Linked DNA regions of Callithrix jacchus. The protein of the gene in region 2 purifies or fractionates together with the protein of the main gene of each other region. This does not show direct contact. Links are inferred from orthologs where the notes say so. Each region holds a gene or a part of one and is shown on either strand. Other genes may lie near its edges.

Evidence for each region.
Region 1: the proteins of MED13 (region 2) and MED9 purify together in Homo sapiens (affinity purification with mass spectrometry; 6 studies listed by BioGRID and IntAct, with this or other methods). This does not show direct contact. The link is inferred for Callithrix jacchus from reciprocal best matches to the Homo sapiens genes MED13 and MED9.

The regions. Positions count from the first base shown.
Region 1 is NC_133506.1:69,653,637-69,660,883, reverse strand, and holds the end of MED9 (mediator of RNA polymerase II transcription subunit 9), read left to right. Parts: intron 1-1,750; coding exon 1,751-1,967; 3' UTR 1,968-3,609; downstream 3,610-7,247. Other genes in the region: RASD1 (dexamethasone-induced Ras-related protein 1), read right to left, coding at 5,461-6,008, 6,200-6,485.
Region 2 is NC_133506.1:94,819,585-94,828,061, reverse strand, and holds part of MED13 (mediator of RNA polymerase II transcription subunit 13), read right to left. Parts: intron 8,056-8,477; coding exon 7,934-8,055; intron 5,951-7,933; coding exon 5,860-5,950; intron 5,722-5,859; coding exon 5,507-5,721; intron 5,228-5,506; coding exon 5,031-5,227; intron 3,983-5,030; coding exon 3,066-3,982; intron 1-3,065. UniProt on the Homo sapiens protein: Component of the Mediator complex, a coactivator involved in the regulated transcription of nearly all RNA polymerase II-dependent genes.

The DNA of each region.
Region 1 (7,247 bases), about 25 Mb from region 2:
TCCCTGTTTGCTTCCTTCCAAACAATTTTTACTTGTCGTGTGACTACCAGTTCGTCCTCCCTAGAATCTGAGATAACGTATACTGTAATGGCGTCTCTCAGTTGAGGGCATCAAATGACAAATGTTTGGCTGGCCTCTCATTTCCTGGAAGAAGTGATTGATTCTCCAAACCCCCCACCCTGAGTTTGGAGCTGTTGGTAAATACTGAGCCGGCCATGGTGGCCATCTTATTGCAAGGTGTGAGACGTAACTGATGGATCGCCAAGAAAGATGGATATTCTGGAGAAATGATGAATAGTTAACATGAATTAGCACCATCTGGATTGAAATTTTCCACTACAGATGAACATTTATTTAAAAAAATTAATGATCATTGACAGTTTTTTCCTATTACGCCTCAATGACTTACTTTTAGAACAGCTTACTGAGTTGCCTTTTAGTTTTGGTCTCAACCACGTAACTTTTTTTTTGAGACAAAGTCTTACTCTGTCACTAGGCTGGAGTACAGCGGTGGTGTGGTCTCGGCTCACTGCAACCTCTGACGCCCTGGTTCAAGCAATTCTACCTCAGCCTCCCGAGTAGCTGGGGCATGCGCCACCGTGCCCAGCTAATTTTTATATTTTTAGTAGAGACAGGGTTTCACCATGTTGGCCCAGATAGTCTTGATCTTCTGACCTCAGGTGATCTGCCTGCCTTGGTCTCCCAAAGTGCTGGGATTACAGGTATGAGCCACTGCGCCCGGTCCACTTAACTAACTTTTTTAAAATGTATAGGATGGCTCACGCCTGTAATCCCAACACTTTGGGAGGCCAAGGTGGGTGGATCACAAGGTCAAGAGATCGAGACCATCCTGGTCAACATGGTGGAACCCCGTCTCTACTAAAAATACAAAAAATTAGCTGGGCATGGTGGCACACGCCTGTAATTCCATCTACTCAGGAGGCTGAGGCAGGAGAATTGCCTGAACCCAGGAGGCGGAGGTTGCAGTGAGCCAAGATCGTGCCATTGCACTCCAGCCTGGGTAACAAGAGCGAAACTCCGTCTCAAAAAAACAAACAAAAAAAAAGTATAGGAGCAACTTTCAGGCTGTTTCTTTCATCTCAGGTGAGGTTATTCTTGCCTCGTTTTTCACTGAGTGGGAGCTCTGTGCAGCTAATAGTAGCTGTGAGATGGAGCGAATGATCTGCTTTGAAAGTGAACTTGACTCAAAGGGTAAGGAGTGTACATGACCATAGTAGAAGAGAGCCTATGTCTGCTGAAACATTTAAATTAACTAAACTTTAAAATTTATGAACAGCTCTGTGGATATTAGTCTTTATGTTAACCAGTTCAAGCCAGTATCAAAACCTCCACTAAAGTTAGCTCTTGCTAGCTGGTAGAGCCTCCTGACTGGTCTGGAAATGTCTCCAATTAGACGAAATGTCGTATTTCAGTAAGTTGTGTTTGGCATTTGTCACCTGCTGTTGGTATTGGTTTGTTCATTGAATACATGTTCTGTGAGCTTATTTGCCAAGCATTCATTCTTTCCATGGATATTTCTTGAGTGCCTGCAGTGCCCTGTACACTGGGCCAGGGGTAGGGAGACATCTGTGACCAGGCAGACATGGTCCTTGACCTCACAGAGTAACAGTTGACAAAGTGTTCTAAAAGCTGTTGCAGGAATGACAGCCAGCTCTGGGGGGTGCAGGGCAGGAAAGCCACGATGAGTATCAAGCTGCGAATGCTCATGGCTCTTACTCTGCCCCCGCAGCATGGACAAGGACAGCCCCGAGGTCCACCAGGACCTGAACACCCTCAAAACCAAGTTCCAGGAGATGCGCAAGCTCATCAGCACCATGCCCGGCATCCACCTGAGCCCTGAACAGCAGCAGCAGCAGCTGCACAGCCTCCGGGATCAAGTCAGGACCAAGAACGAGCTTCTGCAAAAGTACAAGAGCCTCTGCATGTTCGAAATCCCCAAGGAGTAGAGCGAGGCCGACTTCCAGGAGCACCTGAGAAAGAGGGAAGCAAATGGCCTGTCACCCCACAGCCACTACCCCCCCGGCCGAACGCTTGTTGGGGCACAGTTCCTGTGGAACCCAGCTCAGAACTTCAAGCTGCAGGGGCGGGGTTCCTGTGCGGGAGCCAGCGCCGAGAGCTTGGCTGTGCTGGGGCTTCCTTGTGTAGATCCATATGTCTAGATGCATAATAACTGGAGTGCCTGCTGGTGGAAGTCAGAATGCTCCTGGAGGCTGCGGAGGGGGTGGAGGACTCTCCCTTGCCTCTGGGGAGGGGGCCATCTGCTTCGCATCCAGCCCCACTGACAGATCTGAAGAACACAGTAAGAAGGGAGGCGGTTCCTCTCTGCTTCCTTCCCTCCCCCTCCTCCCACCCCCATAGGATCAGTGTGTACCAGGTACATATTGTTCCTGTTAGCAGCAGCTTCTTGAAACACTTGCATAGAATCCACTGGACAAATTAAGCCTGCGCTCATATGGCATAGAGCTGTGAGAGAATGTTTTGAAAGGCCACAGGGTGGCTTTTTTCCCAGTTTGGTTCCTTTTCTGTTTGAGCGGTGAAGGAACTATAGCTGTGGGGGTGTCGGCCCACACCCCTGCCAGGCAGCCCCTGGCTGCAGCTTCCCTGCTTCCTAGCACTCTCCTCTCCTTCAGCGCTTGCTCTCTTCCTTGCTCGGCACCTTCAGTCAGTGCCCAGGGCTGGCAAGGGGCCGTCCTTTCCACTCAGGCTGGAAGAGGTCTTCAGGCGGACAGACCTGTCTTCTGTCATTTCAGATTCCCATTGCCGTGGTGAAAAGGTCTTTCCCTTCTGTTCTCACTTGTGGCAGCGATGTGTACTATGCTGCAGAGGGGTTCATGATGCACCTTGTGTTCAGAGAGGGGCAGTTCGGGTGGTCCTCAGCCATGAGCTAGGCCTGACAGTGACACAGCCAAGTTTGAGCTCTTAAAGGTTTATAGCAGCCCTCATTTCCCCAGCATCCCTGATTTCTTCCGGATGGGACATTTTCTTTGTTTGCTCTCCCTTGACTGTCAAATTGAGGTAGGAGTAGTTCTCACCCTTGCTTCTCCAAGAGGGGGTGCCAAGTCCTGGAGTGTTGTTTGGGTCTAGGAATGAGCACACAACCTGCGCTGACCACTTCGGGGACTTAGCAGATGCCCGCCAACTGACCTCATTGGTAGGAGGACTGGGTGAAGATGTTTTTAGCAGAGCTGCCATTAGTGTCCAACTGCAGCTACCTATCAGAATGTGGGTGGTATATTGGGGACCTGGGGATGTGTGAAGGAGGAGACCAGATTTCAGTGGCTTTGCACAAAAAAGTAGGCTCGGAATTCAAGTGGGTGGTCACCTGTTAGACCAGTTCTACCTTGGAACTGTTATTTAACTGAATCAGTTATTTCCTTGAAATTTCACAGTTGCGGGTCGGCCACTTTTAAGGCTCTGACAGATACCATGAAACATGAAGCACATGGAAATCTAAGACCCTTGGGGTCTGAATGCAAGGCTGAAATGAACAAGGGCTCCTCACGCGGGTGGAGGGAGCTGGAGCCTACCTTGTGTTCCTGTTTTGACTTGTGACATTCAAACGCATAATTAAAAGGACTTGTACTCTGCTGTTTCTGGACATCATGCTTTCTGTACTGAGAAATTCATAGTGGGATGCTCTCAGATCATTTAGAGGAAAATGTTTCTCTTACTCTGTTCAGACACAGAACCAACCCTCTGTTCCTCAACTCCCTCCACTCACCTGCTGAACCAGTGTGGAACAGGAACTCCTCTCCCGGCTGGCCTCAAGGGGAGTTTGCCTGGCAGGTCATCCCTGCCCCTGCCTGGCACGGGCCCCTGGGCATCCGTGGTTGCCTTTGATGGAGTGGCAGGGTGGGAGTGGGGGTCCAGTGCCTTTTGGTGACTGGAGGTTTAGTCCTGCCAGAACTGCCCTCCCTGAGCAGGGTTGAAATCCTTCTAGGACAATTGTTGAGTGTTCCTCACAGGGCTGAGCACCCTCTCAAAGCCACTAATTATTTGGATTACTGGGTGGCATGCATTTGTGCTAAGTACTTTTCAGATACCACACTTAATCCTCACAGCAAGCCCATGCAGAGGGTGCTCTGCCCCAGGTTTGCAGTACTAGTGACAGAGGTGTTCCTGGGTGCCTTAGGCATGAGAGGGAGATAGCAAGGCTGAGGGGTGCATGGGGCTCCACTCCTGGGCTTGAGCACTGCCTGGAGCTAGAAGGGAGCAGACGCCCAAGGGTTAGCTGTTTCCTGCCAGGGTGGCACCCTGGAGGGAGGGGGTGGGAGTGGGCACCTGGATGGACCTGCTTCCAGATGGGTCTCAGGGTCTTTCCTCAGGGCCTGAGTGATACCTCCCAGTCTGAGAGTTCGCCTGGGCCCACACTGAGTCTGGTGACAAAATGGCTAGGCACAGTTCCAGTGGCCCTTGGGCTAAGGAGAATTCAGAACGTTTTCTTAGAAAATGAGGCCTTTTGTCATCAAACACAAAGAAAATTAAGCGGGTAGGTGGCTAGAAAGAGTTCATCTCCAGGAGGGACCCTGAAATCCTTTACCTTCGTCCTGGTTTTGTAGGGAACCATCCCCTGCATAGATGCCCCAGGCACCTAGGGCCTTTCTGGCCGCCAAAGCTGCTTTCAGAAGGGCAGGGTATTTTCCAGTTCCGAGGAAGGTTAAGTTCTAGTTCCACACAAGTCAAAGCCCAGCCCCTTCCCTCTCCCTACCCTTCCCGCCTCCAGCCATCTCTAAAAGCAAAGAAAAACCGGTTTTCCATTTTAAATTATTTTATTGTATATTTAAAAACCAACAGTAATAAAGACCTCACTCGCACACACGCAGTACAAATACCAGGGTGAGGTTTTGTTGGTGTCCGTGTTGACACCGGAACTACTGTTAAAGTGCAAGTTTGGTTTTGTGTTCCTTTGTGCAGTTTCACTCACATGTAAACAAGTCACTTGGCTATGATTTGACCCAGCCCCCCTTAGTTTTGGGAGGGCACAGGTTCTGCCGGCTGTCATGGCAACCCGGAATCACAGACAAGATAATGCCCCGTGGGTCCTGACCCTCAAGCCGGGCAGGACGGTTTCTTGAAGCCTAACAGGCTGGATAACTTCACATCACCCCCACCCCGCACTCACTCTTAGGTCTTTGAGAAGACAATGCCACTCTCGGCAGGGCCCTTGCCCCCCACCCCGCCAAGTTGTGGGGATGGGATGGGGTGAGGGTGGGAGTAGTCTCAGTCTTGGCCAGTTCTCTTTCCTTCCAGAGCAGATGACTGTCCCTTCTTGGTTCAGTGGCGCCTCCCCAGCGCTGGGGGCGGATCGCGGGGAGGGAAGACGCTAGTCCAGTCCGCGCGCTCGCGGCCCCGGGGCGCACGGGGCGTGCCGGGCCGTTGGATTTGACTTAAACAAAAAGGTCCTCCTTATGTCGTGTGGCTGCCGGCGCGGTGGGGCTCCTAGCTGATGACGCAGCGCTCCTTGTCCTTCGCCTGGCTGCCGGCGCTGGCCTTTTCTCGGATGTACATGAGGTCGCTGTGCACGCTTGGCCGGCGCGCGAAGGGTGCCACGATGCCGAAGGCGTCGCCCGGGTCGCCGCCGCCGGCCCGCAGCAGCCTCTTGTTCCGCAGCGCCTTCTTGTGCAGCACGTCGCAGTACTGCACGGAGACCTTGCGGTGCAGGTCCGGACTCATCTCGCTTGGCAGCTTGGCCATGGCGAAGAGTGCACGGAACATCTGGTCCAGGCTGCTGTTCTTCTTGGCTGAGATCTCGAAGTAGGCGCAGCGCTGGGGGTCGTCGCCCACCAGCTGCTCGATCTCGCGCTGCTCCACCTCGCGGTAGAAGTCCCGGTCACCCTTGTTGCCACAGATGACCAGGGGCACGTCCACGTTCTCCTTGGTTTTGTTCTTGAGGCAAGCCTTGGTGTCGAGGATCTGCTGTCTGAGCCGCTGAACCTCCTCGAAGGAGTCGCGGTTGTCCAGGCTGAACACCAGGATGAAAACGTCTCCTAGAGGGGGCACAGAGAGCAGAAAAGGAGAAGGTGAGGGTGGCTGTCCAGGGGACAAGTTGGGCTGACTTCGGGGTCGCGCGGGGCGCGCTTGCCTCTCCAAGCGCGAGGCGCGCGACTGGCGCTCGCGGGCTGTCCTGGCAGAGGGTTCCCCGCCCTTCCCTCCGGCGCCTGCCCGGCCCCCGGCTCACCTGTGAGGATGGAGAGGCGTCGCATGGCGGGGAACGGGTGGTTGCCGGACGTGTCGAGGATATCGAGCTGGTAAACCTCGCCGCGGATGGAGTAGAACTTGCGGTGGAAGTCCTCGATGGTGGGCGTGTAGGCGTCCTCGAAGCGGCCGGTGAGGAAGCGCGAGACGATGGCCGTCTTGCCCACCTTGGACGAGCCGAGGATAACCATGCGATAGCAGTTCTTGGCCGGGATACTCAGCTCCGAGTCGCTGGGGCACATCTTCTTGATCATCGCGGCCAGTTTCATTGGGCAGAGGGGCCGCGAGGGCGGGAGCGGGGCCGAGCGAAGGGCGGAGAGTGGCCGGAGGCGCTGGGGAGGCGCGCGGGTTAGCGGCCGGAGGGCTCTGCTCGGGCTGGGCGCGGCTCGGGCTTGGGGATCCGGCTTCGCTCGAGCTGGGCTTGGGTTTGCGCTCGGCTCAGAGTCTCCCGGGCTCTGGGCACAGGCAGCTCGCTCTGGCTTTGGCGCCCGGCCGCCGCCCTTATATGCAGCCTGCGTGGCCGCCCCGCCCCGGCCCTCCCAGCTTGGTGCGTCACGCCCCGCGAGACCCGCCTCCCCCGCACCCGCTCCAGGCCCCTGCGACCTCGCCGACCGCTGCCCCGCTCCTGCTCTCTGGGCGCGGGGGCTGGGGGAAACTGAGTCCAGGGTCGGGCTGAGGCTGGAGGCGCTTGGACTCCGCTCTTCCACCGCCGCGGGCTCGGCTGCCGCAGGGGTGTTGGGGTTCTGGTCTCGGCGGTGCCCCGACCCTCTGCGACCTCTAGCAAGGAGCCCCCTTCCAGCTCCTCCCGCGCGCGTACACTCACTTTCTTTGGTTCTCAGTTTCCCCAGAGAGATCTAGTAAGTAACCCAGTAAGCGCAGCAGCGTTTGCTGGGGGCTTGCGCGGACCGTATATTGAAGTCCCCAGAGCATAGCCCAGACACCTCCCGCTCCGGTCCCCAGCCCGGCGCTTGTTCCCGGGAGGCGGAAGCCGGGCTGACAACGGGTTTCCGGGCCTCTGGCGCGCAGCTCGG
Region 2 (8,477 bases):
ACCTCCACCTCAGGTTGAAGCGATTCTCCTGCCTCAGCTTCCCAAGTAGCAGGGATTACAGGCATGCACCCCCATGTCCAGCTAATTTTTGTATTTTTAGTAGAGATGGGGTTTCACCGTGTTGGTCAGGCTGGTCTCAAACTCCTGGGAAGCTCGTGCCTGTAATCCCAGCACTATGGGGGCCAAGGTGGGGGGATCAGCTGCTCTTTTTTGTTTGTTTGTTTTTTGAGATGGAGTCTCACTCTGTCGCCCACACCTGAGTGCAATGGCACAATCTTGGCTCACTGCATCCCCTGTCTCCCGGGTTCATGCAATTCTCTAGCCTCAGCCTCCCAAGCAGCTGGGACTACAGGCATGTACCACCACGCCCAGCTAATTTTTATGTTTTTAGTAGAGACGGGGTTTGCATATTGGCCAGGATGGTCTCTATCACTTGACCTCATGATCCTCCTGCCCTGGCCTCCCAAAGTGCTGGGATTACAAGTGTGAGCCACTGCACCCAGCCTGTTCTGTTTTATATGTATTATTTCATTTGATTCTTGTAATACCCTGTAAAATAAATCCATTATTGACCCTATTTTAAGAAACTGAGGCACAGAAAGTTTAACTAACTTGGCCCAAGGTAGCAGGTAGTATATAGTGCTACAGTCATGTTTCAAACCCAAGCAGTCTGAGTCCACAGCCTATGCTTTTAACTACTCTATATGGCTTAAAATAATCTTTCCCTTTTTTTGAACACCTATGAAATTTATTTATATTTTTCCCTTTTTAAATTTGGTCCCTCAGAATAAATAATTGGATAAATGCTGAAATTATGTCATGTACATTAACTTAATCACTGGTCCATAGGTTGCTCTCATAGTTCAAAAATTTCCTTTAATAATAAAATGAACAACTGTAATCTCACTGTCCAAGAACTAGAACATTACCAAAACAGTCTTATTAAATGTTTCTTCCTATCCTATCTTGTGGTCATTTTTGGACACGTGAAATTTCAAGAATTAACCAATATCCTCAATTTTATGTGCATGTAAATAATACATTTAGTTGTGTTTGTTTCTGAACTTTATTAAAGGTAACATATTAAAGTTATTATTAAAGGGTATCTGACTATATGTAATCTTCTGGGATTTGTTCCCTCTTCCTCTCCTCAATACTATTACTAAGATTCATCTATTTGTTATATACAAAAGTATCCATTTTCAGAAGCCATATAACATTCCATCTGTACTATCATGATTTTTTAACTATTCTCCTGTTGATGGGCTGATTTTTAATTCTTTCAACCTTGCGTTACATGGCCATTTTTTTCTTTTTGAGACAGAGTCCCACTCTGTCTGTCAAACGGCTTGAAGTGCAGTGGTATAATAATCATGGTTCACGAAATCATCCACCTCCTAGGTTCAAGCTATCCTTCCACCTCAGCCTCCCAAGTAGCTGGGACACCAAGCATGTGCTACCACGCCCAGGTAATTTTTGTATTTTTTAGTAGAGATGGGTTTTGCCATGTTCACCAGGCTGGTCTTCAACTCCTGGGCTCAAATGATCTGCCTGCTTCAGCTTCCCAAATGCTGGGATTACAGGCATAAGCCATATTTGTCAATTAAATTCCTTTCTATATGATCACTCCCAATGCACCCATTAAAAAATAATAATAAACCTCTCTTTTAACCCTATTATCCAATTTCTCTGCTATTTATAGCAAAAGTCCCCACCAAATTGTCTAAGTTTGCTTCTTATCCCATTCTCCTGTGAACCCACTCTAATCAGGTTGACTGAAACTGCCTATCAAGGTGACCAACAACTTCTATGTGGTCATATCTAATAGCCTGTCTCAGTTTTCACTTTAATGTATCACAGTATTGATAGAGATGATCACTCTCTTCTAAAGATTCCCTATACTTGATTTCTAGGATACCATACTCCCATGGTTTTCCTCCAACATTCTTCTCAATTTCTGTTCCTGGCTCCTCCTCTCCCTCCCCATCTCTAAATGCCAGCCCCATCCTTGTACTGCTCTATCTACAATTACTCTTTAGGTTATTTCACCCAGATCCACAGCTTTTCATAATGATAACTCAAGAAAATTTTCAATTTTTTATTTCCTATCTTCTCCACTAAATTATAGGTTCAAAACGAGCAAAGAATATGTGTGCTTTGACACGTATGTTCATTGCGGCACTATTTACAATAGCAAAGATCTGGAACCAACCCAAATTCCCATCGATGATAGACTGGACAAGAAAAATGTGGCACATATACACCATGAAATACGATGAAGCCATAAAAAACGATGAGTTTGTGTCCTTTGTAGGGACAGGGATGAATTTGGAAACCATTCTCAGCAAACTGACACAAGAACAGAAAATCAACCACCACATGTTCTCACTCATAGGAGGGTGTTGAAACAATGAGAACACATGGACACAGGGAGGGGAGCATCACACACTGGGGTCTGTTGAGGGGGGTCCTAGGAGAGGGACAGCAGGAGGTAGGGAGTTTGGGAGGGATAACATGGGGAGAAATGCCAGTTATAGGTGACGGGGATGGAGGCAGCAAACCACACTGCCATGTATGTACCTATGCAACAATCCTGCATGTTCTGCATATGTACCCCAGAACCTTAAGTGCATAAAAAATATTAAAAAATAAAGTATCTAAATAAAAAAAAGAATATGTGTGTTTTGTTCAACGGTGAACCTAGGAAAATACCTGGCACATACAAGGTGTCCAGCAAATATTTAATGAGTGGAAGAATGTGAATAAAGCAGAAAACTAGCAATGTTGTGCTAATAAACAGATGCAAAGTGCCTTTTATATTCCTATGTAAGTATATAATTACAGATTTATAACAACAATACTTTTGTTGGTGAAATTAAACTAAAACTGCTAAGAAATTCTCCCTTTAAAAACGTCATCCTTAAAAGAATTTTAAGTCCAACTTTAAATGTCTTTATTTACTACATGGGAAATTGCCTTAAATACTTTTTCCTAAGAAAGAAAAGCAAAGTCATACAACTAAAGGGAAATAAGCAAACAAGAAAGTATTTTATTAGCATACTTACCATTTCTTTTGGACCAGGGGTGTAAGCATGAACTTTTCACAAGTGCTTCATCAACTTTTCCTCCTGACATGTTATCCATGAACTGACGCCCATGTTCTAATGCAAGGTAGCAGTCATTGCAACAGTCACGCTCTTCAACACGCACCCAATTGTTAATTACACCACTTTTAGGAAAAGGATCTTGGTCTGCTGCTCCAAAGGGTGAAAATAAATTAGTGCACTGATCTTGTAGCAATAACATCAAATCATCAGGCAATTTTTCAGATTCCTTTAGTCCTCCATTAACATGTTCAGCAGAGGTAGCCCTGAGAGCTTCAAAACGTTTTTCAGCTTCTTTGCCACAATCTGTATTGCGCCCTACGATATCTAGTTCATCTTCAAGAAATAATCCTGAATTGTTTCCAAATTTTCTGTTCATGACAGCACTGAAGCCGCAGGTACACCTATATTGTACTTCCTGCGTCGGATCTGGAATGTAAACTCCAACATCGGCACCCTTGATATTCATGTTGCAGACACAGATGCAACAACTATCAAAGTTACAGTCTTTAAACAAATTCATAACTGATTCTGAAAGGATGAGGTTTACATAAAGACTGTGTGCTTCAGGGATGGAAGGGACAGTTGCAGGTTCAACAGAATTAAGGGGTCTGCATGTAGATGGGGTGGAAGCTGGTGAATACAAGTCTGAATTTTCATATTTGACGGAACCTTGAGCACTGGCAGGTCCACCAGCTCCACGAGGAGTCCGAGGAGTCCTTGGAGTCCTTGGAGTTGGAAACCGAGGGGTGGATGGAGAAGGAAGAATTCCTGCTCCACTGTTACTAGGAGGTGCACTGCTAGGAGGCATTCCAAAAGAAGTATGAGTTTGAGGTGTATAAGCAGGGCCATATTCTTGATCCATATTACTTCCATCACTATCATCACCAGGGTAAAAGAAAATAAAATACATACATTAAGGAACATATTAGTAATGTGAAATACAACTAAAAATGTCCCAAATGTTTTTCAATTACATAGGAAATTATGAAAGGGCAAGTACTGCAAGAATTACAAGTAGAGTCAATTCTCATTTCTGGTTAACCTATCTACTCTAAGTAATTGTGTGGGCTAAGGATCAATCAAGTTCAAAAATCATTAATAAACTCTGTATACACTAATACATACCTAAACATCTATATTTACTATCTATAAATTTCATTTACTAGAAATACTTATAAGATGCTACTGACTATAAAAAAAAAAAGATTTTAGAGATGCTTATGTGTAAATAGGGAAAAACTGCAATTTTAAGGTGCACTATAAGACATCTCAAATTCAGTTGTTTTTTTTTTTTTTTTTTTTTTTGCCTCAAGTTGAAACTGACAAATTCAGATATGGTAAAATGTGAAAAGTATGGAAAATATGGCAAATGTAAAAATGGGAGTGATTTTAAATTGCAGCCCAAAAGAAAAGGTGCTTCTGAATACAAATTAAGCAGAACAGTCATAAATTTTCCAATAGTTTATCTATACCCAATTAACCACTGTAATTTTTTTTTTTGAGATGAAGTTTCACTCTTGTCGCCCAGGCTGGAGTGCACTGGTGCGATCTTGGCTCACTGCAACCTCCACCTCCCGGGTTCAAGTGATTCTTGTCCCTCAGCCTCCCAAGTAGCTGGAACTACAGGCGCACGCCACCAGGTTTGGGTAATTTTTCTATTTTTAGTAGCGACAGGGTTTCACATGTTGGCCAAGCTGGTCTCAAACTCCTGACCTCAAGGGATCCACACACCTTGGCCTCCCAAAGTGCTAGAAATACAGGAATGAGCCACTGTTCCTCGCCAATCATTATACTTGATTAATCAGAAATAATTTTTGGAATTTTCAAAAACCAATTTTCTTTTTCCAGCATGCCAGGTAAATCTACAAAAAAAATTAAAGCTATATAAGCATTCATATACTATTATAATAACATAAATCCTACCTCTCTTTGATGAATGGCATTGCAGGCCCTGAAGGAAGCAATTCCAATTTTCCAACAGTCCAACTCTGACGGTAAATACACTCTTCTGGCAATTTGATAGGGGGCAGATATTGGCTTGGTAGAGTTTTTAGAGGTGCAAACATGGAACATCCCACTAGAATTTGACAATTTTCAGGCTTATAGACGTAAGAAAAATCCTACAATATAAAGATGGTAGGTTTTTAGTATCTTATCTTCTGGGAAAAAAATAAACAAAAAACTCAAACAAGCTCTGGACCTTTTTTCCTTTCTATAAACAGCATAAAATATAAATGCAATCCTATTCTTTCCATAAATGCAATCGTAATTGTGACACAATAATTCAGTCCTCAGCCACAAAACTGCAAATACTATCAAAGAATTTTTGAATACAGCAACAAACTAATTCTAAGAAAATATAAGAAGTGAATTATTCTTCTAGGAAAAAAAATACTTACTTTAATTTCAGAAGGTTTGGGGCTACAGAATCCCTCATCAACCTCAATTTTGAACTGTGGTCCTATACTAGAACTATTTCCTTCTAGAACAGTTCCTCCAGGTGTTGTATCCATACTACCATATTCTTTATTATTCATATTCATTGGGGAAAATCCCATAATATGTTGTTCCAATGATGGTGGTGTAGGATACATTTTATGAAGATCTGCAGTGCCTATATTTTTAATAAAAACATACATTTTAATGCATGACTAAAAATAGGTGACTCTGTGTTTAAAACAAAGGGAGTGGGGAGCTTTTTTGAAATTAAAAGTTTGCAAATTTATCTCAAGCACAGATGTGGGACACTTACTTATGCAAGATAACGGGTCCAGATTTCCTGTCTTTGATTCCTTGCAGCTGGCTTTATCATCTGATCCATTCGCTGATTTTTTAGATCCAGGCTATTTAAAAAAAAAGCACATACTTAACTAAAATTTTACACCCAATGTGATCTCAAAATACTAATCATTCAGAAATAACTTAAAAGTAAAGCCAGTTCATTAAAAGTAATATTTTGAATTTGATACAGCCAAATACATACTAGTGTTGAAAGATACAAAGTATTTCTTAGACAATCATTGACTCCAGATTAGTTTCTCTGAATACTTATTTGGTAAGCCACCAAATTAAAAGGGAAAAGTTCCTCGAAAGAAAATGACCAATACTTTCAAAATACACACAAATAAGGTTAATCTTAAATTAAAACCCAAAATAAAGAGGCTGGACGTGGTAGCTCACGCCTAAAATCCCTGCACTTCGGGAGGCAGAGGCAGGCAGATCAGTTTGAGGCCAGGAGTTTGAGACCAGCCTGGCCAACATGGTGAAACCTCATCTGTACTAAAAATACAAAAAATCAGCTGGGCGTGTAGGGGCATGTCTATAATTCCAGCTACTCAGGAGGCTGAGGCGCAAGAATTGCTTGAGCCTGAAAGGCAGAGGTTGCAGTGAGCCAAGATTGCACCACTGCACTTCAGCATGGGCAACAGAGTGAGACTCTTGTCTCAAAATAAAATAAAATAAATAAAAATAAGAAAACCTGCAATAAGAAGGAGTTGTAATTAACATTAGAAATGCTTCTTAGTAAAAGATACTTGCAAAGCATTTGTCTCCTTAAGTTGAATACATTAAGGTTTGTGTTTTTCCTATATATTCAATCACCCACTTCTCTGAACTCTTATTTATACTTTTACCTTGTTTTAATAATCTCCTTACTCCTATAAAAATACTGTAACAGGTAAAACTAAGTACAAACTTCAGAAGATCTAATGACAAAGCAATAGTTTTCCTAACTTTTAGTACATTGAACAAACAAGCTTTACTATTTCCAAGCTATTACCAATGTTTTCAGAGCTAACATTTGTTCCATGTCTTCTGTTAGACAGTTTGTGATAAATATTACTATGCAGACCACATTCTGACTACAACCTTTTTATCTTAGAGGAACCACAGCTGATACATGAATGGTAGTAGATAGTATGAATGTGTCAAAACATTCAAGGATATATTTGCCTAGTGAAGGGTGTTCTAAAATGTACTACACTATGGGATATATAGTAAAAGTTTATGTATCTGATATATATATATGTATATGTATGTATATGTGTGTGTATATGTGTACATATACACATATACACACACATATACATACATATACATATATAGATATATATGCTGAGAGGAATAAATGCATATTATATAGGAAAAGAAAGACCAAATGTACCATAGAAGTTTCCAAGCTACCTTTATGCAGATGAAAAGGAATTCCCTTTTATGATAATGCAGCACCCAATTCATTAATTTGCCAGAGACTTGACATTCTAGGGAATCTCATTTTAAGCTTTAATTTCTTTTATCTTCACCTTTCTCTGCAAATGGGTGTTAAAGATCAAATATTACTTTTTCTTCCTCTTTCATTGCTATATCATGTATCTGTCTTATAATAATAGCTGTGATGTCAAACAAATTCAAAAGAACTGGTATTCCTTAATAAATTGACAAAGCAAATAACTTTAATGTCAATTATTTATGTGTTCTCTGAATGAGTAAATTCCAGGGTCATTTCTCAAACTACAGAATCAAATAGGAAAATAATTCTGCTTCCTAAAACTGCAAAATAGAACATACAGCAGAGCTCAAATTAAGGTTAATCATGTGTTTCCCAAATGTAAAAACAAAAGGAGAAACAAAAATCTCAAAGTTTATAGGTGACACTATGGCAAGACTACTCAAACATGAGATTAAAAAAGAAACCAATGAGACTTTACTATGAAATATTTCTCATTGTTCAGGGCTAAATCATAGTATTAAACTCATAAATCACTTCTAAAGAATAAAAAATATGTACATAAAATCAATATATTCCTATTTATTAATGAGATACTCACTGTTAGTTCATCTTCATCAGAATTGAAGAGATTATCAAGATCAGTATAAGAGACAGCCAGGTCTGAGTCATAAATCAAACTTGTTGATGGAGGACGGGCATGACTAGTAGGGCGTGGAGCATCTACAAAAGTCAATCAGAAAAATAAAACTGCTACTACTGATCAAATAAGTATTATTCTGTTTAAATTAGACATGTAACTTTAAGTTCATAGGGTACTATGCAACAAGAAACTGTAATTTATTATTTAAAATCTAGAAAGTGTTTTTAATAGAAAAAATGTTATAAAGGTATAAGGGGTTTATACCTTTTCCAGGAAGCTCACTAGAAGGTCAAGTAATCCATAAAATAGCTAAGTACTCTACATGAATAATTAATATATTAAATAAAAATATAAATTCTATTTAGGAAAAGTGAATTAAATACACACACATATTTGTAGTTTTTTTTGAGATGGTGTCTCACTCTGTTACCACCAGGCTGGAATGCAGTGGCACAATCACACCTCACCGCAGCCTTGACCTCTCGGGCTCAAGCAATCCTCC